Anolis sagrei: one gene and its partner. The protein of the gene in region 1 purifies or fractionates together with the protein of each later gene. This does not show direct contact. Links are inferred from orthologs where the notes say so. Each region holds a gene or a part of one and is shown on either strand. Other genes may lie near its edges.

The links.
Region 2: the proteins of PTPN14 (region 1) and WWC2 purify together in Homo sapiens (affinity purification with mass spectrometry, with the first as the bait; 3 studies listed by BioGRID). This does not show direct contact. The link is inferred for Anolis sagrei from reciprocal best matches to the Homo sapiens genes PTPN14 and WWC2.

Annotation. Positions count from the first base shown.
Region 1 is NC_090021.1:33,745,663-33,757,043, reverse strand, and holds the start of PTPN14 (tyrosine-protein phosphatase non-receptor type 14), read left to right. Parts: upstream 1-6,141; 5' UTR 6,142-7,391; intron 7,392-11,381. UniProt on the Homo sapiens protein: Protein tyrosine phosphatase which may play a role in the regulation of lymphangiogenesis, cell-cell adhesion, cell-matrix adhesion, cell migration, cell growth and also regulates TGF-beta gene expression, thereby modulating epithelial-mesenchymal transition.
Region 2 is NC_090025.1:65,605,665-65,616,559, forward strand, and holds the start of WWC2 (protein WWC2), read left to right. Parts: upstream 1-6,594; 5' UTR 6,595-6,932; coding exon 6,933-7,063; intron 7,064-10,895. UniProt on the Homo sapiens protein: Regulator of the Hippo signaling pathway, also known as the Salvador-Warts-Hippo (SWH) pathway.

The sequences.
Region 1 (11,381 bases):
GTTTTTCTTTATGTTTGGGATTTCCAAATTTATAGTGGAATACCTTAGTCTACTACTCTGCACCAGCTTTCAGTGCAAATACAGTGGGCCCTGATAACCACTGGGGGTTGATTAACAGCCCTGCCATGGATACCAAAATCTGTGGATGCCCAAGACCCATAATATACAGTGGCACAGTAAATGGCATCTCTAATATAAAATGGCAAAATAAAAGGTTGCTTTCTAGAATTTTCTTTGGAGTTGGGGGGGGGGGTATTGGATGCAGACTATATGGTCAAAAGTTTACACTACTGACATTTTAAACACTGTGCCAGTCATAGAGTATTGGCATAGGATGTATGTGCGCATAAGTAATAAAAGCATGGCCACGGTGGACCATGCTCTTGTTACATCAATGATAGATTACTGCTACACGCTCTCCATGGGGTTGCATTTGAAGACTGTTCAGAAGCTTCAAGGGATCCAACAGGCGGCAGCTGGACTCCTCACTGGGGCAGCGCACAGGGAGCGTACAAGATCCCTGTTACGTCTGCTCCACTGACTGCCAGTCTGCTACCGAGCACAATTCAAAGTGCTGACGTTAGCCTATAAAGCCCTTAATGGTTCCAGCCCAGCTTACCTGTCTGAATGTATCTCCCTCTATGATACACCTCAGAGATTAATATCTTCTCGGGAGGTCCTGCTCTCAGTCCCATCTTCTTTGCATGTGGGGCTGGTGGGAATGAGGGGCAGGGCCTTATCAGTGGTGGCCCCTTGGCTATGGAACTTCCTCCCTAGTGAAATTAGAGCAGCCCCCTTCAGGAAGAAAGTAAAAATGTGGTTATGTGACCAGGCTTTTGGAGAGCAAGTTTTTAGTGCAACAAGAGAATAAGGAATAGTGAAATGACAAATGGAACAGCTTCAGATTTTGGATGGTGTGATTTTAATAAGTGGTTTTAAATTGTTAATGCTTTGGTTTTAATGTAAATGTTTATTTTGTTGTGTGTGTGTGTGTCTGTATGTATGTGTGTGTGTGTGTGTGTGTGTATGTATGTATATATATATATATATATATATATATATATATATATATATGCATCAAATTGCTGCCTAATTTGTAAGGCCGCTCTGAGTCTCTTTTGGTTTTGAGAAGGGTGTAATATAAATGAAATAATAATAATAATAATAATAATAATAATAATAATAATAATGGTGATGAGTATAGGCCTGTAGAAACAGTAGTGACTAAAACATGGCTGATGAGTTTATGGTCATTCAGTTGTTCACTCTAGTTCCCATCAGCCTGATCTATCCAGCCTGGTAGTGAGCCTAATAGTTTGTCAGCATCTGGAACGTCCAAGGTTCCCTACTCCTGGCCCAAAGTTGCCCTAAATTACTCTTTTACTCTTTGGGATGAGTTTAGCAAGAAGTTGCTTGAAAGGAAAGCCCTACAATTTGTAATTCTATCATCTTACATTCAGTACTGTAATGCTTTAATAGGATTTGCTTCTGCGTAATTATGCCTACCTTAAAGTTGTAATCTTCAACTTTATTCTTATCGTCGAAGGCTTTCATGGCCTGAATCACTGGGTTGCTGTAGGGTTTTTTGTCTGTATGGCCATATTTTAGAGGCATTCTCTCCTGATGTTTCGCCTGCATCTGTGACAGGCATCCTCAGATGTTGTGAGGACCTCACAACTTCTGAGGATGCCTGCCACAGATGCAGGTGAAACGTCAGGATGGAATGCTTCTAGAACATGGCCACACAGCCTGAAAAACCTACAACAACTCAGTGATTCTTATAATTCACATTTCCAAAGAATTTTTGTAAGTTATGGCTACAGTTCTAACTACCATTTACCCTGAAAATTCCATTAACCTCAATAGACTGACTTCTAAGTAGATCTTACAGCACTGCACTGCATATCTCTTGAGTCGTAAATTTAGTCCTGCTGTGCATACACATGTAAATGCAAGTGTGGGGATGCTAAAGTGTCAAATATATTTTGAACACGTGGCATCCTATGTTACAATAGCATTTTCCAAGTTTATCTTTCACAACAAATACCATTGTGTTTGGCTTTTAAGTGAGCAGAGTACAGGTTCCTGTAAAACAAATAAATATAGCGCACAACTGGCAAAACAGAACCTTCAACAATGAGTATGTGTGGGCAACTCACTATCAGAGATGTGTGCTGAGAGCCTATCCCTGTTTTAATCTATGAAAATGTTGGCAAACATGCAGTGATTGTTCCACACTACCGTCATCCTGCATTATCCAATTTCCACAGACTAGGATACAGACTAGGGCCAGGGAATGACTTTGTTGCAGGGCTCTACTGATTTTGTGAAATCAATTTTTCCATCTTTCTCTCTTTTCAGGAAGATTTCCTGTGCAGTGCTGGCACAGTAGAGGGGGAAAAACATTTTCCTAGCAACAAAATACTGTTGTTCAGAGTGTTGGAAATGAGTTGGCTCCTTGCATTAGAACAGTGTTTCTCAACCTTCCTAATGCCGTACCCCTTAATATAGTTCTTCATGTTGTGGTGAACCCCAACCATAAAATTATTTTGGTTGCTACTTCATAATTGCAACTTTACTATTCATATGAATCGTAATGTAAATATGTGTTATGCAGGATGTACTTTCATTCACTGGACCAAATTTGGCACAAATACCCCATACGCCCACATTTGAATACTGGTGGGGTTGGGGGGATTGATTTTGTCATTAGGGAGTTGTAATTGCTGGGATTTATAGTTCACCTACAATCAAAGAGCATTCTGAACTCCACCAATGATGGAAATGAACCAAACTTGGCATACAGAACTCCCATGACCAACAGAAAATACTGGAAGGGTTTGGTGGGCTTGATCTTGGGTTTCAGAGTTGTAGTTCAGCTACATCCAAAGAGCACTGTGGACACAAACAATGATGGATCTGGACTAAGCTTGGCACAAATACTCAATATGCTCAAATATGAAGTTTGGGGAAAATAGACCTTGACATTTGGAAGCTGTAGTTGCTGAGATTTATAGTTCACCTACAATCAAAGAGCATTCTGAACTCCACCAACAATACAATTGGGTCAAACTTCCCACACAGAATCCCCATGACCAACAGAAAATATTGGAGGGATTTGGGAGAAATTGATAGTGATATAGGGGAGAGCATGCCTTATTTAAACAACCAACTATTAAAAATGTAAGGGTCTTTGACAAGGATGGTCAACTATATGGCTGGAATTTGTGTTTTTGTCTCTAGACCCCTGCAAAACTACTAAAAAAGAAAATGTGTATCCATTTATTATTTACTGACATTAAACAAAATGGGATGTGTGTGCCTGTAACATTTTAAAATGTTGTTGCTTCTCCTGGGACACATAATGGAGCAGAGAGAAAAAGGGTGGTTTGGGGAGTCTGGAGGACTCACTGCAAAGGAGGTAAGGACTATACTTCATAGACCAGGGACACTAGAGGAGAGTTTTCAAGGGAAGACTCTTGTTAGTGTGTTGTAACATAAGACTAATATGAGGAAATGATCTAGCAACACTTTGGAGAGTGATATTCCATCATAAACTTTCATGAATTCCAGATTGCTAATCATCTGCATCTGCTGGGCCCATATACAGGTGTATAGTTACCAGGAGATGAAGGCAAAATAGGAGTTCTGCCCTTTATGATTTTCCTTCATTGTGTGCATTTCTAGCATTGCAGAAAATGACACTAAAATGCACTCACAACTAGGACTCTAGAATTTGCTGTCTGCATTCCCTTGACAACTTTGCCTATATGGTCCTTGTATATGTTCGGGTTTAAAATCCAAGGATGCTCCTAGTCCCATTATATGTAATGGCATAGTAAAATTGTACCCCTTATATAAAATGCTCAAATAAAGTGGGTTGTATGACCATGTTCCAGATGTATTCTCTCCTGATGTTTCACTCACATCTACGACAGGCATCCTCAGAGATTGTGAGGTCTGTGGAAACTAGGCAAATGGGGTTTATATATCCATGGAATGTCCATGGTAGGAGAAAGAACTCTTGTCTGTTTAAGGCAATTGTGAATATGTATTGTTGAAGGCTTTCATGGCCAGAATCACTGGGTTGTTGTAGGTTTTTTTGGGCTATATGGCCATGTTCTGGAGGCATTCTCTCCTGATGTTTCACCTGCATCTATGGCAAGCATCTTCAGAGGTAGTGAGGTGATCCTCACTACCTCTGAGGATGCTTGCCATAGATGCATGTGAAATGTCAAAAGAGAATGCCTCTAGAACATGGCCATATAGCCCGAAAAAAACCTACAACAACCCAGTAATTGTGAATGTTGCAATTGGCCACCTTGATTAGCATTGAATAGGCTTGCAGCTTCAAAGCCTTGCTGCTTCCTGCCTGGGGGAATGCTTTGTTGGGAAGTGTTAGCTGATGCTGATTGTTTCCTGTCTGGAATTCCCCTGTATTCTGAGTGTCGAAACATGGCCATACAGTCCAAAAAACTCTCAGCAACCCAGTGATTCCAGCCATGAAAGCCTTCTATAACATGCTAAAATAAAGGTTTGCTTTCTGGAATTCTGGGAATGAAAAGTTTTCAAGCTGTAAATTGTTGAATCCATGGATACAGAAGGCCCATAATATCTTATTTTGGATGCCTAAACTATTTCTATATGCTTAATTTTGAAATTACTACATTGCTAGAATTTATGAGACTGGAGGAGTATTTCATAAGGGAGGGAGAATTATTATATGGAAGGTAATGTTTGCACTTGAACCTCTACATCCTTGCTCAACATCTAATAAAATAAATGGAAGTCCATGAAAACTTATGATGAAAGCTGAGTTTCAGAAATGCCACTCTGATCTGGATGGTCCTAAATGTATTCAAGCTCAATTGCTACAATGAAATGTGTTGTCAAAGACTTTCATGGCTGGAATCACTGGGTTGCTTTGAGTTTTTTGGCCTGTATAGCCATGTTCCAGAAACATTCTCTCCTTACGTTTCACCCACATCTATGGCAGGCATCTTCATACATTGCGAGGACTGTTGGAAACTAAGCAAGTGAGGTTTATATATCTGTGGAATGTCTAGGGTGGGAGAAACAACTTTTAAAACTCGGTTTTACTTCTACGTAAGTAAGGCAGGGCAACAAAACTTGATAAATCTCTCTAACCCAGTGTTTCTCAACCTGGGGGTTGGGACCCCTGGGGGGGTTGTGAGGGGGCGTCAGAGGTGTTGCCAAAGACCATCAGAAAACATAATATTTTCTGTTGGTCATAGGGGTTTCGTGTGGGAAGTTTGGCCCAATTCTCTCCTTGGTGGAGAGAATTGGGCCAAACTCTCCTTGGTGGGATTCAGAATGCTCTTTGGTTGTAGATATACTATAAATCCCAGCAACTACAACTCCAAAATATCAAGTTGATTTCAGTCAAACTCCACCAGTGTTCACATTTGGGCATATTGAATATTAGTGCCAAGTTTGGTTCAGATCCATCATTATTTGAGTCCACAGTGTGCTCTGGATGTAGGTGAACTACAACTCCCAAACTCAAGGTCAATGTCCAGTATCCTCTGTTGGGCATGGGAGTTGTGTGTGCCAAATTTGGTTCAATTCCACCTTTGATGGAGTTCAGAATGCTCTTTGATTGTAGGTGAACTATAAATCCCAGCAACTACAACTCCCAAAAGACAAAATCAACCCCCCCCCCCCGCCCAAACCCTACCAGAATTCAAATTTGGGTGTATTGGGTATTTGTGCAAAATTTGGTCCAGTGAATGAAAATGCATTCTGCATATCAGATATTTACATTACGATTCCAAACAGTAGCAAAATGACAGTTATGAAGTAGCAAGGAAAATAATTTTATGGTTGGGGTTCACAACATGAGGAACTGTATTAAGGGGTCGCGGCATTAAGAAGGTTGAGAACCAAAGGGGCTAAAGTTGGAGAAAGGAGAAGAGAAAGTTGGTGAAAGAGGAGAGCTGGGGCAAAGAAATCGTGCAAGCAAGCCAGCCAGCCACTCCAGGCCTTTGCGCAAAAGGCTGGTCGGAAAGATTTCCCCCGGCTGGCTCTCCGCCCCTTCCTCCAAATGGGTTTCCCCGCCCTTCACGGAGGGCGGGAAACCCCCTTCCTATGGGGCGCCTTCCTCCATCTTCCTCTCCAACTGAAATCCCCAAAAACACAAACCAACCCAGAAGTAGCTCCTCCTTCCCTGATACCTCCGGGCTCTCCCTCTCCTCTGCGCGCAGTCAAGGGGAACCTCCCCAAAGCCTCTATTCCTTGCCCCCCAACCCTTTCCCCGGCTTGGTCCTCCCTTCCCTACTGAGAACTGCCTCGCTAGTCCCTCCTCTCCGTGTAAAACGGAGTCACTCCGGCGCGCCTCCTCGTCTTCTTCCAACTTCTCTCCAAGCTGTGCGTCAGGCTCGCCACTAGAGTTGCGCTCCAGCAAGTACAGAAAGAAAGAAAGAGGGAAAGGAGCTCTCGGGCATTTGGATTCCTAGTTGGTCCCGAGTTCCTTCCCTCCTCCTCCCCTTCTTCCCCTTGGCATTTGGGGGAGGCTTGGCCCGCCTTGGAACAGAGTCAAACTCCGAAAGGCATCCTGGATTTGGGCTCCTTTTGGAGCGCCCCTTCTTTGAGTCGCCTGTGCGTAAAAATACGGAGAGAGAAAGCAAGCAAGCAAGCAAGAGAGAAGTGCTCCCTCCAGGCAAGTCCCCGCCGCCTCCTGCCCTGCAGTGGCTGCTCCGCATTCTTGGCATTCCTGGGCTGTGACTCCGAGGTCGGCGACGGCAAGGAGGCAGGCGGGAGGGCTCTTGCTTCTCCAAGCAGCAGCTCCACGCAGGACCGGGGCCGAGGAAGAGCCACGCGGGAGGGAGGGAGGGAGGGAGGGAGGGAGGACCCACACGCTCTGGACGCCTGCCTTTCTCCATCTAGGCACCAATCCCCTCCTCTCTGCTTGGCTCTCTCCTCCCTCCAGGCTCCCGAACTTCTTCCCTCCTCCAGCACCCTCCCTTCCTGAAGCTCAAACTTCCTACAAACTTTCCTTTGGAGAGCCTTGCGTGTTGCTTCTTCGGGAGGGGGAAAAGAAAGAAAGAAGAGCCCCCCTTTTTTGCTGCTGACTCCTTAGCACCCCAATATCACTCAGTCCTCTTCATTCCCCACCATCCTCCTTTTCTCCCCTTCCTCTTTCTCCCCTTTCCTTCCTAATTTTGGCAAATTCTGTCGGCTCCAACTTGCCCTGTCCCCTTGTTTGGATTCCTTGGCTAAAGCGGAAGCCTCCTTCATCCATCACCGGTGAATCTTGCGGATTTAAAAAAAAGAAATCAAGGCCTAGAGGAAGGAAAGGAGGAGATCTTTGAGAACTATACCTTGAGGAGACGCAGCTGCCTCGAAGGGGTCCCAAACTCATGTGAAAGCAGGTAAGCCTGAGATGCAACAGTTGGGATGCTTGAGTGAGTTGGCTTGGACTTTTTGAGTTTGGAGTTGGTGTAAGCATTAGTAAGGCTCCTCTCTGGTCAGTAAACTTCGTACAACTTCGCTCTGCAGTGTGAGTGTTTTGAGGTTGTTATTGTTTTGCTTTTGATTTAAAAAAAAATGCAAAACCTATAATACAGGAAGAATGCACACAAACCCAGAGCCCTCTGAACTCAGTACTGTTATCGTTCTGTTCTGTATGGTATTGTTTTATGATATGTTTTATTGTGATATGTTTTATTTGATTTTGTTTTGATGCTATCTTATTGTGTTATGTTTTTAACTTTGTACTCCCTGGGCTTGTCCCTTTATAAGCTGCCCCAAGTCCCTTGGGGAGATGGAGGTGGGATATAAAAATAAAGTTGTTGTTGTTGTTATTATTATTATTATTAGTTTAGGTACAGTTTGGGAGTTTCTGGGTTTGAAGTTGATATAAGCCAAGACTAGAGCATGAATCCACTTTAAATCTGGTTTCTGCCTTCAGCAGAATTCTGGGGTTTGCAGTTTAGTTGAAGGTTCCCCCCTAAACTATAATCCCCAGAATTCTGCAGGAGGCAGCAACCGGATTTAAATTGAATTCATTCTCTAGTTTGATGAGTTCTTCAGTAATCTTGGCAGAACTTCTCTGTGAGGTGTGTGGTTTTGGGGTTATTTTGATTTGCATTTTTAAAAAATACAGGAACAGGGCCAGCTATTTATTTATTTACAGTATTTATATACCACTTTTTTTACCCCTGGGGGGACACAAAGTGGTTTCCATAGAAATAGTGACAAAATTCAATGCCTTACCCTAAATCACAATCAACACCATATAACTGAGCATAAAATCAATAAGACAATTCATCATAAGATATAAGGACATTTAAAACATGAAATATAATACTTAAAACGCCTAATAAAAACATAATGCAAGTATGTAGACCATACTCATCATCCCAACAAAGGAATCCCCCAGACAGGAAGCAGCCAAGCCTTGAAGCTGCAAGGCTTTTCAATGCTAATCAAGGTGATCGATTGCAGCATTCACACCTACCTCCAACAGACAAGAGTTCTTTCTCCCACCCTGGGCATTCCACAGATATATAAACCTCACTCGTTCTAATTCCAACAGACCTCACAATCTCTGAGGATGCCTGCCATAGATGTGGGTGAAACGTCAGGAGAGAATTCTTCTGGTACATGGCCATACAGCCCAGAAAACTCACAGCAACCAGTGATTCCTGGCTATGAAAGCCTTCGACAACACATAGTTCGTGTGCAGTTGGGCAGTTTTTGAGTCTCTTTGTGTAAACAAGGTTCTCTGGTCAGTAAACTTGGCACAACACCCCCGGAGGTGTGTGTGTGTTTTGGGATTTTTGTTTTTGCAATTTGAAAAGCACAGGAACAGTTTATGTCCAGTTTGGAAGTTTCTGACTCAGGCGTTGGTGTAAGTAAGGCTCTTTGGTCAATTATCTTGGCACAGCTCTGTTCTGAGGTTTGTGTTTTTGGACTAACTTGCTTTTGCATTTTTGAAAAAAATACAAAACGTATAATGCAGGAACAGTTAATGGGCGGTTTTGGAGACTTATGCCCATCCCTCACTGCCTGAAAATTGTATTTCAGATCTGCTCAGTTAAATGGAAAGGTTGAGCATGCAAAAGGAGTTCTGAAAATAAGTGACCCTTTGAAAGCATTAGCCTCACATGACTTTCCCTTTTTCAACTTGTCCTGTTGCAATGGCATGGGGTGCCTTGAAAAACTTTACTAAACTTTGTGTGTCCAGCTTCTCAGTGTTGTGGTGTGATTTCTCTTTGGGTCCATGTTTCAGCCAGCTCAAATGAACAAAATCTGGCTACTAGTATTTTTAAAAACTCTAAAATCAGGGCAGTAAATAAAGAGCAACACTTAAAAAGCAGGGAAATTCCAGACAAGAATCTATGAGGGCCAGCTAACACCTCCCAACAAAGGATTCCCCCAGGCAGCAGCCAGCCAGGCTTTGAAGCTATAAATGGTAACCAAGGTGGACAATTAAAACATTCACACTTCTCTCAAGCAGACAAGAGTTCTTTCTCCCACCCTGGACATTCCACTGATATATATACTTCACTTGCCTAGTTTCCAACAGACCTCACACCTCTGAGGATGCCTGCCATAGATGTGGGCGAAACGTCAGGAGAGAATGCTTCTGGAACATGGCCATGGAACTCACAACAACCCAACTCCCACTCTTTTGGCTGGGTGGATTTTATCTTCCTGCTCTTTGTTAGCTACTAGTCAAGTCTATACCGGCCATTCCTCTCTGGCAGATGTTGTGACAAGAAGGAAGGAATGTGGTGGCAGTTTCTCCTGCTCCCTGCCTGACAAAATCTATTAATCTTTTTTTTAAGTTTGCAAAAGAAGCTGCCTTTTAAGGAATGAGTCATTTGTTTGCCTACAGTGCACACAACATAGATGTGTATTTAAAGAGGGTAAAGGGGATGAGGTTTGCTGGTTTTGAACTTCTGTGGGCAAAGGGCCCTGATGATTATAAGTCTCTTTCTTTGTATTCTCTCCAGCTATGTATCTCTAATGAGGGGTGTTGCAAGGAATGAAAGGATGGTATCAAATATGAACTCTTATGCTGAAAATCCCATCCCTTCCTCCTTTATGATGACTTGTGAAATGCACACAAGAAAGGTTTGTGCAATGTGTGAGTGTATTCAGTTCTTGTGGGTTTTTTCGGGCTATATGGCCATGTTCTAGAGGCATTTCTCCTGACGTTTCACCTGCATCTATGGCAAGCTGCATCTATGGTCAGCATTTCTCCTGACGTTTCGCCTGCATCTATGGTGAGTGTATTTTTTTTTTTAAGTAAACCCTAAGTGTGTTATGATAGACCTTTTTTTGGGCATTACAGTTTTGAAAACTTCTCTAAGGTAATGTTCTTGGACTCAGAAGGGATCAAAGACACTAAAAAAGAGCACTGCTTTTTTAGAACAAAGGTCTGTCTATTCAGCATCCTGTTTCCAAATGGAGTCAGTCCCATGCTTCTGGGAAGTCCCCCAAAATAGAGTAAGAACACAACAGTCCTCTGCTCCTTGTTGTTGGCAGCTCCATATAGATTCCATGTGTTTGTTTGCTCGACTGTTTGCCCCAATTTACCTAGTGAATATAAGACGTATTTCCGTTGGATTCCGGTTGTGCATGAAGGAGAGAAGTATGGGAAGAATGTGTTGATTTGACTTTCTTCCTTACAGTGAGAACTCAAACACAATAGTTTTCTTTTTATGTGATCACTCCTTAGCAAATTTACTCTTACAAGGGCAAATACTCACAAACATTGGATTGTTTTGTGCTTGAAGCTTGCCAGATGACTGGATGATGAATGTCTCAACTGTTTCTGGTGAAAATAATGTGTCTCAAGCAATCTAAAACTTTTGTTGAATCTTGTGATGTGTCCAGGGCTGTGCATGCTGTTGATGTTGCAAGTAGCTGTCGTGTGATGGGCCAATTAGATGTGGGGTAACATAGTATTGAAAGTGGTATCTAGTCTAAAGCAGGTTAACAGTCTTTGGGATCATTTACAACTTGGTAAATGGGATTTACTACTATAGTGGATGAAGGCTGTGGTATAGGGACTACATCATTTGCAATTGTATCATCAAAGGCTTTCATGGCTAGAATAATTGGGTTGCTTTAAGTTTTCCAGGCTGTATGGCCATGTTCCAGAAGCATTCTCTTCTGATGTTTCACCTGCATCTATGGCAGGCATCTTCGGAGCTTGTGGGGTAAGGTGAACGTTTTTTTCTATGTGTTTTGAAACAGTTTCTCCCTGTAGATAGGTTCAATGTATTATTGAAGGCTTTCATAGTTGGAATCATTAGGTTGCTGTGAATTTTCCGGGCTCTATGGCCATGTTCCAGAATCATTCTCTCCTGATGTTTCAGAGAATGCCTGTCATAGATGGATTGGAGGTG
Region 2 (10,895 bases), on another chromosome or scaffold:
GTATTATTATTATTATTTGAAACACAACAAGATGAGTCCACAGCAAACACTCTGTTGGCTGTTGTATTGGATCACATGTTGGACACTTTCCAAGTGTCTAGGACTGTGTGATGTTTCGGTGAATAATGTGTGCAGATCCCAGGCCTTCTGCAGTTGGCAGATGGTAATTTTCTCAGCACCTATTGTGTTTAAGTGCAGGCCAAGATCTTTAGGCACTGCACCCAGTGTGCTGATCACCACTGGGACCACCTTGACTGGTTTGTGCCAGAGTCTTTGCAGTTTGATCTTTAAATCCTCATATCGTGTCAGCTTTTCTAGTTGTTTCTCTTCAATCCTGCTGTCATCTGGGATTACAACATCAATGATCCATACTTTGTTTTTTAACACGATCATGAAGTCAGGAGTATTGTGCTCCAAAACTCTGTCAGTCTGAATTCGGAAGTCCCAGAGTAGCTTGACGTGTTCATTCTCTGTAACTTTTTCCAGCTTGTGATGCCACCAGTTCTTTGTCGCAGGCAGATGGTATTTGTGGCACAAGTTCCAATGAATCATCTGAGCAATGGTGTTATGCCTCTGCTTGTAGTCTGTCTGCACAATCTTCTTGCAGCAGCTGATGATGTGATCTATTGTTTCATCTGCTTCCTTGCAGAGTCTACATTTGGGATCTGTCATTGACATTTCAATTCTGGCTTTGATGGTATTGGTTCTAATGGCTTATTCTTGGGCTGCCAGAATCAGGCCCTCCGCCTCCTTTTTAAATTATTATTAAAATTATTATTATTATTATTATTATTATTATTATTATTACTCAGAGGTCTTGAGTTTTCCCCTTGCAATTGTATAAAACTGATGTAAAGCCACTGTGCGCTAATAACAGATGCTGACTAAAGTTCCGAGTTCAAATTTCTATGTTCAGTATTAACATGACCTATTTGGCCCTTCGGATATCTATAATTCAGCCAAGTTATAGTGGACTAAAATTTTAAAAGAAACCACTTTCCATGCCTGGCTTAAATTCTGTGCTAACAGAAAATTTGCTGGAATTTCCGTTGTGTCACACATATCCTGTGGGACTTTCCCCGTGAAATCTATTTTTCATTAAGAATGTATCACAAGGCAGAAAATATAATCCTAGCTTGTTAGGCTACTTTTTTAGTCTGTTACCTTACACATGGATTTCATTAGTATAGTAAATAATGTAAAGGTCTCCTTGCACAAAGACCTCCGGCGGATACAAACATCCATGACTGCTCAAATCTTGTTATATACAACGGCATAGCAAAACGGTGTCCTGGATATAAAATAGCAAAATCAAAGTTTGCTTTTCACTTAAAAAAAAAACATGTTCAAGCTATGGATGAATGAATTCCTCAGATACAGAATCTGTGGCTATGGAGGTCCAATTGTATAACTGTTCAGGTTCAGATGTATCTTTGGAAGTGAATGAGATAGAAAGTCATATCTAACAGAACTAAAATAATGGTTTCAGATTGGATGGGCCTCTGTGTGTGTGCCTTCAAGTCACCTGTTGGACTTATAGTACCCCATGAGATTAATGGGGGCTTTCTTAACACTCAGAAGTGTTTCTTGCCTAAAACAATGCAACCATATTAAACTTAAGTAAATATTTTACCATATTTTGTAGCTTGTATATTTTCCTATTTTAATTGTATACTGAGAATAGGAATGAACTGAATGATTGTGCCTACACACTTTCCAGTCCCTGGGTCTTACTGAAAGACATATAGCCACTAATACTGGGGGTAATGTAGAGCCATGTAAGGCATTACCAACACCTTAAATAGCTTTCTAAGATCTACAGAGATACTCACATGAACACCTCAGCGAGCAAGAGACCAAAAGTGGCAGGTTAAAACCCGGAGCCTCAAACCATGGCTGATACTGGATGAGAACCTCCCTTCTGGGAGTCTCTCTTTTCTTCTTTCTTGTGGGGTTTTCTTCTACTTTTTCTAAAGTCTTTTATTGTGGGAGACCCTTTTTGTGGCACCGGGGCCCCTTCAACATCTATATAAATAAAAATGTAATGTTGGTTTGTGGGATTAACATAACTCAAAAACCACTGGACAAATTGACACCAAATTTGGGCACAATACACCTATCAGGCCAGCAAGTGACCATCACTCATAAAAACACTGAAAAACACAGCAGAAGAGAATTAAAAAGCCAGAGGAGGCTGAAGGTCTTGCAAATCTATTATTATTATTATTATTATTATTATTATTATTATTATTTTATACCCTGCCTTTTCCTTCCAAAAAGAGACGCAAATTTATTGTTGTTATGTTTATTTATACCACATTTTTTCTCTCCACAACAGACTCAATTTATTATTATTATTATTGTTTATTTATACCTCGCTTTTTCTCTCCACAAAGAGACTCAAATAAGTATTTCAATACAGTTTTTCAATACAGTATTTCAATACAGTTAAAATCTACAAATATACAGACATTAAAGCAGAATTAAATATCACTGGTATTTAAAAAAAATCAGTTAAAATCCACAAGGACCTCTTCAAAGAGAATGGAACAACTTAAATCCAGTTTCTGCCTCCTGCAGAATTCTGAGGTTGTACATTAGGGAGGGGCCTTTAAGCAACTCAGCCAGACAGGTCTTGGGCCTCCCTAAACTACAAATCCCAGAATTCTGCAGGAAGCAGAAACCGGATTAAAGTGGATCCATACTCTAGTGCAGGGGTCCTCAAACAGAGGGCCAGGTCACAGCCCCTCAAACTGTTGGAGGGCCGGATTATAATTTGAAAAAAACATGAATTAATTCCTATGCACACTGCACATATCTTTTTTGTAGTGCAAAAAACACTTAAAAACAATACAATAATTAAAATGAAGAACAATTTCAACAAATATAAAATTATTAGTATTTCAATGAGAAGTGTGGGCCTACTTTTGGCTGATGAGATAGGATTTTTGTTGTTGTTCTGTGCTTTCAAGTAGTTTCAGACTTAGGTTGACCTTGAGCGAGGGCCGGGTAAATGACCTTGGAGGGCCGCATCCGGGCCCCGGGCCTTAGTTTGAGGACCCCTGCTCTAGTGTGATGAGGCTGTTAACTAATCTACAACTCCTATGAGTCCATAGCATGGGGTGCAACTAGAATCTCTGCATTTTGACACCCCTTTAACTTCCATGGATCAATGCTATGGGATTGTGGGGGTTGTAGTTTAGTGAGGCCAAAGCACTCTTGGGAAGAGACGTCTGAAGACCTTGTAAATCTTCAACTCCTATGAGTTTATAACATGGGGCGCACTTAGAATCCCTGCAGTTTAACCACCATGGCTCAATGCTTTGGCATGATAGGAGTTGTAGTTTAGTGAGGCCCCAGCCCTCTTGAGCAGAGAACTTTGAAGACCTTGCAAATCGACAACACCTATGAGTTTATAGCATGGGGTGCATCTAGAATCCCTGCAGTTTAACTGGCATGGGTCGATGTTATGGGATTGTGGGAGTTGTAGTTTGGTGAGGCCCCAGTACTCTTGGACAGAGAAGTCCTTGCAAATCTACAACTCTTATGAGAGTGCACTTAAATCTCTGAAGTTTAACTGGCATGGCTCAATGTAATGGAATTGTGGGAGCTGTAATTTGGTGTGGCCCCAGCACTCTTGGACAGAGAAGTCCTTGCAAATCTACAACTCCTATGAGGGGGCATCTAGAATCACTGCAGCTTAACTGGCATGGTTCAATGCTTTGGAATGATGGGAGTTGTACTTTGGTGAGGCCCCAGCACTCCTGAGCAGAGAACTCCTTGCAAATCTACAACTCCTATGATGGTGCACTTAGAATCTTTGCCGTTTAACTGGCATGGCTCAATGCTATGGGATTGTAGGAGATGCAGTTTGGTGAGGCCCCAGCACTCTTGAGCTGAGAACTCTGAAGACCTTGCAAATCTACAACTCCTATGAAGGTGCACTTAGAATCCCTGCAGTTTAATTGGCATGGCTCAATGCTATTATTCTTTATTATTTACGACATTTTTATCCCATCCTTCTCAAGCCCAAAGGCAACTCAAAGCGGTTTAGAGATTGGCAGCCATTCGATGCCATAACAGTCCACAATACACAGTTAAAACATTTGAAATATTATAAAACAATATAAAAACCAACTTACCTGTCTGGACGCATCTCCCCTTATGAACCCTCCAGGATTTTAAGATCGTCTGGGGAGGCCCTGCTCTCGATCCCGCCTTCGTCACAAGTATGCCTGGCGGGGATGAGAGACAGAGCCTTCTCAGTGGTGGCTCCTTGGCTATGGAACGCCCTCCCTAGGGGTATTAGATAGCCCCCCTCCCTCTTAACACTCTGAAAGAAGGTCAAGATTTGGCTTTTTGAGCAAGCGTTTGCAGATACAATATAACAGACGTGGAGAAAAAAATGGAACGACTCAATGACGGTATTGGATAATGCTTTTAACTAGGAGACTCAAATCGATATATGTTTTTATTGATATTGTTTTATTTGTTTTTATATTTAAATTGTATTTTACGCTTTTGATGCTGATGGTAAACCGCCCTAAGTCGCCTGTGGGCTGAGAAGGGCGGTATATAAATGTAGTAAATAAATAAATACATACATAAATAAAACCATCTCTCTCTACTCGTGCATAGCACAAACATGAACAAAAATGTAATAGTATCCAAAAGTCCCAGGCTCAACCATCCAAAGGATTTGGACCCTTTAAGAGCTTCCTGGTCTCTGTGGCAGAAACAGTCCAGAAGGTAAGAGCGTCTTACTTGGGATTGTGGGAGTTGTAGTTTGGTGAGGCCCCAGCACTCTTGAGCAGAGAAGTCGTTGCAAATCTACAACTCCAATGGGAGTGCACTTAAATCCCTGCAGCTTAACTGGCATAGCTCAATGCTATGGGATTGTGGGAGTCGTAGTTTGGTGAGGCCCCAGGGGTTTTGAGCTGAGAACTCTGAAGACCTTGCAAATCTACAACTCCTATGATAGTGCACTTAGAAAGAATCTCTACAGTTTAACTGGCATGGCTCAATACTATGGGATTGTGGGAGCTGTAGTTTGGTGAGGCCCTAGCACTCTTGGGCAGTCTGAAGACCTTGCAAATCTATAACTCCTATGAGTTTATAGCAAGGGGTGCATCTAGAATCCCTGCAGTTTAACTGGTATGGTTCAATGCTTTGGAATGGTGGGAGTTGTAGTTTGGTAAGGTCCCAGCACTCTTGAGCAGAAAAGTCCTTGCAAATCTACAGCTCTTATGAGAGTGCACTTAAAACCCTACAGTTTAACTGCCATGGCTCAATGCTATTATTATTATTATTTATTATTTACGGTATTTTTATCCCGCCCTTCTCAAACCCAAAGGCAACTCAAGCTGGTTAACAGATTGGCAGCCAGTCCACAATATACAGTTCAAACATTTAAAACATTATAAAACAATGTAAAAACCATTAAAACTATCTCTCTCCGCACGTGCATAGCTCAAGTCTGAACAAAAATGTAATAGTATCCAAAAGTCCCAGGCTCAGCCATTCAATGGATTTGAACCCTTTAAGAGCTTCATGGTCTCAGTGGCAGAAACAGTCCAGAAGTTAAGAGCTTTTTACTTGGGATTGTGGGAGTTGTAGTTTGGTGAGGCCCCAGGACTCTTAAACTGAGAACTCTGAAGACCTTGCCAATCTACAACTCCTAGGATAATGCACTTTGAAAGAATCACTCCAGTTTAACCGGCATGGCTCATTGCTATGGGATTGTGGGAGTTGTAGTTTGGTGAGGCGGCCCAGCACTCTTGGGTAGAGAAGTCTGAAGACTTCATGAGTCCATAGCATGGGTGAATGTAGAATCCCTGCAGTTTAACTGGCATGGCTCAGTGCTTTGGAATGGTGGGAGTTGTAGTTTGGTGAGGCCCCAGGACTCTTAAACTGAAAACTCTGAAGACCTTGCAAATCTACAACTCCTAGGATAATGCACTTTGAAAGAATCCCTCCAGTTTAACTGGCATGACTCAGTGCTCTGGGATTGTAGGAGTTGTAGTTTGGGGAGGTGGCCCAGCACTCTTGGAAAGAGAAGTCTGAAGACTTCATGAGTCCATAGCATGGGTGAATGTAGAACCCCCGCAGTTTAACTGGCATGGCTCAGTGCTTTGGAATGGTGGGAGTTGTAGTTTGGTGAGGCCCCAGGACTCTTAAACTGAGAACTCTGAAGACCTCGCAAATCTACGACTCCTAGGATAACGCACTTTGAACGAATCCCTCCAGTTTAACTGGCATGGCTCAATGCTATGGGATTGTGGGAGTTGTAGTTTGGTGAGGCAGCCAGAGTAGTCTGAAGAGCGTGTAAAACTACGACTCCCATGATCCCATGGCATTGCTCCATGGCAGTGCAAGTGGGGGGTCAAAACTGCCAAGTAGAGAGTTGCAAATATTGCATTCCAGGCTCAACTTTTCCCAAAGTTTTCTCTCTCTCTGGGCCTTTCCCTCCCCTGCCGCTTCTCATCCCGCAGCGGCGCAGAAAGGGTTAACGCTCAGGAATGCGCCTGCGGGCCAAGGAGGAATGCGTATGCAGATGAGATGGATGCTAATCTCATGCAAATGAGCCCCCGCTGCTGCCGCCGCCGCGCGCCGCTGCCGCCGCGCGCCGCTCGGGGCTGAGCCGGGTTCCTCCAGCGCCTTGGCCCGTTCCCTCCTCCCCTGCCTTCCGCCTGGGCCTGGCACCGGGAGCTCGCCTTTGCCGGGACCCCCAAAGGGAAAAGGAGGCGGACCAAGGCGGAGAAGGGGAGGGGGGTCCCGATCTCAGCCATGGCGGGCTGAAAGGCGCAAAGGGGAGAGTTTCCTGCCCGGCCGCAGGCGAGGAAAAGAGTCCTTGCAGTAGCAAAGCAACAGCAGCAGCGCCTTCTTTCTTCTTGGCTTTCCCGCCCCGATGGAGCCAGGGCTGCCCCCCGGCCATGCCTAGGGACGCCGGGGACGGGCAGCTGCCCTTGCCCGACGGCTGGGAGGAGGCCCGCGACTACGACGGAAAGGTCTTCTTCATCGACCACAACACCAAGCAGACCAGCTGGATCGACCCCCGGGACAGGTGGGTGCGCGAGAGTGGCAGGAGGAAAAGTGGCCAAGGAAAGCACCTCTCCCTCCCTCCAAGCAGAAGTGGTTTGGCCATCTGTCGGGAGTGTTTTGGTTGTGTCTTGAGTGCAACTCTTATATATGAGTCAATCACGCTATTCCATTTTGAGTTGCAGGAGGAAAAGTTGCAAAGAAAAGCCCCCCCCCCCTCAAAAGTGGAGTCTCTCCAAGCAGAAGTGGGTTGGCCATCTGTCGGGAGTGTTTTGGTTGTGTTTTGAGTGCAATTCTTAGGAAAAATTGCAAAGGAAAGCCCCCCTCTCCCTCAGAATTTGAGTCTCTCCAAGCAGAAGTGGGTTGGCCATCTGTCGGGAGTGTTTTGGTTGTGTTTTGAGTGCAACTCTTATATATGAGTCAACCATGCTATTCCATTTTGAGTTGCAGGAGGAAAAGTTGCAAAGGAAAGCCCCCTCTCCCACAAAATTGGACTCTCTCCAAGCAGAAGTGGTTTGGCCATCTGTCGGGAGTGTTTTGGTTGTGTCTTGAGTGCAACTGTTATATATGAGTCAACAATGCTATTCCAATTTGAGTTGCAGGAGGAAAAGTTGCAAAGGAAAGCCCCCCCTCAAAAGTGGAGTCTCTCCAAGCAGAAGTGGTTTGGCCATCTGAAGGGAGTGTTTTGGTTGTGTTTTGAGTGCAACTCTTATATATGAGTAAAACCATGCTATTCCATTTTGAGTTGCAGGAGGAAAAGTTGCAAAGGAAAGGCCCCTCTTCCCCAGAATTGGAGTCTCTTCAAGCAGAAGTGGTTTGGCCATCTGTCAGAAGTGCTTTGGTTGTGTTTGGAGTGCAACTCTTATATATGAGTCAATCATGGTATTCCATTTTGAGTTGCAGGAGGAAAAGTTGCAAAGGAAAGCCCCCCCCCCCTCAAAAGCGGAGTCTTTCCAAGCAGAAGTGGTTTGGCCATCTGTTGGGAGTGTTTTGGTTGTGTTTGGAGTGCAACTCTTATATATGAGTCAATCATGGTATCCCATTTTGAGTTGCAGGAGGAAAAGTTGCAAAGGAAAGCCCCCCCCCCCCCCGAGAATTTAAATCTCTCCAAGCAGAAGTGGTTTGGCCATCTGTTGGGAGTGTTTTGGTTGCGTTTTGAGTGCATGTCAGCGCTGGCTGGGCCCTTGCCGCCCCTTCCAACTCTCAACCATGCTATGATTCCATTTTGCACTTCTGCAAAACTTATTATTATTATTATCATCATTATTATCATTATTATTATTTAGATAATGGCTCTCCTTGCACCCCATGACAAGCTTTCTAACGCCACACCTGTATTAAAATCCACATTGAACTGGATTATATGGCAGTGTGAACTCAGGGCCCTTCCACACAGCCCTCTGTCCCAGAATATCAAAGTAGAAAATCCCACAATATCTGCTTTGAACTGGTTTATCTGAGTCCACACTCCTATAATGTGCGATTTTCTGCCTTGATATTCTGGGATATAGGACAGGCCCTAGGTAAAGGTAAAAGTTTTACCCTGACATTAAGTCTAGTCGGTAACCAGCACCAAAAGACATGATACACGAGCCTGTATCTAAATAATATTAATAATAATAATAATCTGCTTTTTCTCTCCACAAGGGAGACTCAAAGCGGATTCCATTAAAAGTATTTCAATACAAAACAATACAATTTTCCCAGGCATTCTTCTCTTAAAATAACTACAGGCAATCCCCAAGTTACGAACAAAATAGGTTCTGTAGGTTTGTTCTTAAGTTAAATTTGTTTGTAAGTTGGAACAGGTACATTTTTAAGTGTAACTCCAGCCACATATATAATTATATTAGCTTTGGATAGTATAAAAGGTAAAGGTTTTCTCCTGACATTAAGTCTAGTCGTGTCCAACTCTGGGGGTTGGTGCTCATCTCCATTTCTAAGCCGAAGAGCCGGCGTTGTCCGTAGACACCTCCAAGGGCATGTGACCGGCATGACTGCATGGAGCGCCGTTACCTTCCCTCCAAAGTGGTACCTATTGATCTACTCACATTTGCATATTTTCAAACTGCTAGGTTGGCAGAAGCTTGGGCTGACAGCGGAAGCTCACACCGCTCCCCGGAATCGAACCTGCAACCTTTCGGTCAACAAGCTCAGCAGCTCAGCGGTTTAACCCACCGGGTGGGTTAGGTTGACCCTCAGCAAGGGCCGGGTAAATTATCTTGGAGGGCCGTATCCGGCCCCCAGGCCTTAGTTTGAGGACCCCTGATGATCTGGCTGCGTGGACTCATATAATCCAGTTTCAAAGCAGAAAACCTGGGATCAGATCCTGAGATGTGAATAAAATCTGAATAAAATCCCACATTATCTGCTTTAAACTGGAATATATGGCAGTGTGGACTCAGATAACTCAGTTCAAAGCAGATAGTGGGATTTGCTGCCTTGATATTCTGGGTTATATGGCTGTGTGGAAGGACCTTGTGTTAAAGGATCCTCAAGTTCCTTCCACACAGCTGAAAAAAACGATAGATTATCTGCAATATATAGGAATGATACAACAAAAGATATTATTCTGGCATGCCTCTCACAGAACATGATGAAAACCAAAAGATGTCTTTTCCTAGTAGTGTGATTTTCCTAGTAGTGTAACATAAACAATAACAAAGTTTAACCAACAACGAATACCAAAAAGGAGAAGAAGATAAGTTTGCTTCCACTTTTACAAAAATGTCTCGATACAATCTTACATTGACTGACAGTAACCACTACAGTTGTACTAAAGCTCCTTCCACACAGCTGTATAAAATCCACATTGAACTGGATTATATGGCAGTGTAGACTTGGATAACCCAGTTCAAAGCAGATATTGTGGGGTTATTATTATTATTTTCTGCTTTAATATTCTAGTGCCCTTCCACACAGCTGTATAATGTCCTCATTGAACTGGATTGTATGGCAATGTGGACTCGGATAACCCAGTTCAAAGCAGATATGGTGGATTACCTGCCTAGATATTCTGGATTATATGGCTGTGTGGAAGGGCCCTTAGAAACTGGATTATCTGGCAGTGTAGATCCAGCCTTTGAAGGTCTGCTTTCCTAGAGCCCAGGCATGCTAGTGTTTCTGTTATCACCAGGGCTGGATCTACACTCTATGAACTGCATTATATGTCAGTGTAGAGTTCCCATGCAATGCAGTTCACACTGCGGGTCCTTCCACACAGCCCTATATCCCAGAATATCAAGGCAGGAAATCCCACATTAACTGAGTGTGGACTCAGATATCCCAGGGCCCTTCGGCACAGCCCTATATCCCAGAATATCAAGGCAGGAAATCCCACATTAACTGAGTGTGGACTCAGATATCCCAGGGCCCTTCCACACAGCCCTATATCCCAGAATATCAAGGCAGGAAATCCCACATTAACTGAGTGTGGACTCAGATATCCCAGGGCCCTTCCGCACAGCCCTATATCCCAGAATATCAAGGCAGAAAATCCCACAACTTTTTAAATATGCAAAAAATGTGAAAAAATCGAGCTTTAAAACTCGAAGGAGCCTCCAAAGACTTTGCATCAGGCTTGTGTTTCTCTCTTTCAAAACAGCTGGAGATCCATAAGCACTAGGGATTCTGCTTTTAAAAAAGCGATAATTTCTGCTCAAATCGTATTTTCATTTCCTAGTCCAGAACTTTTTTTTTTGGAACCGTCTTTCTCAGGAAGAAGCTGGACTCGGCAAAGATAAATACACAAGCAGTTTGCTGAAGTCTGTTTTTGGAACTGCAGGTCTGGCATGCAGTCGGCATGAATTTTTTCTTTCTCCTGAAACTTTGGATTATGGAAACAAACAGACTACTGT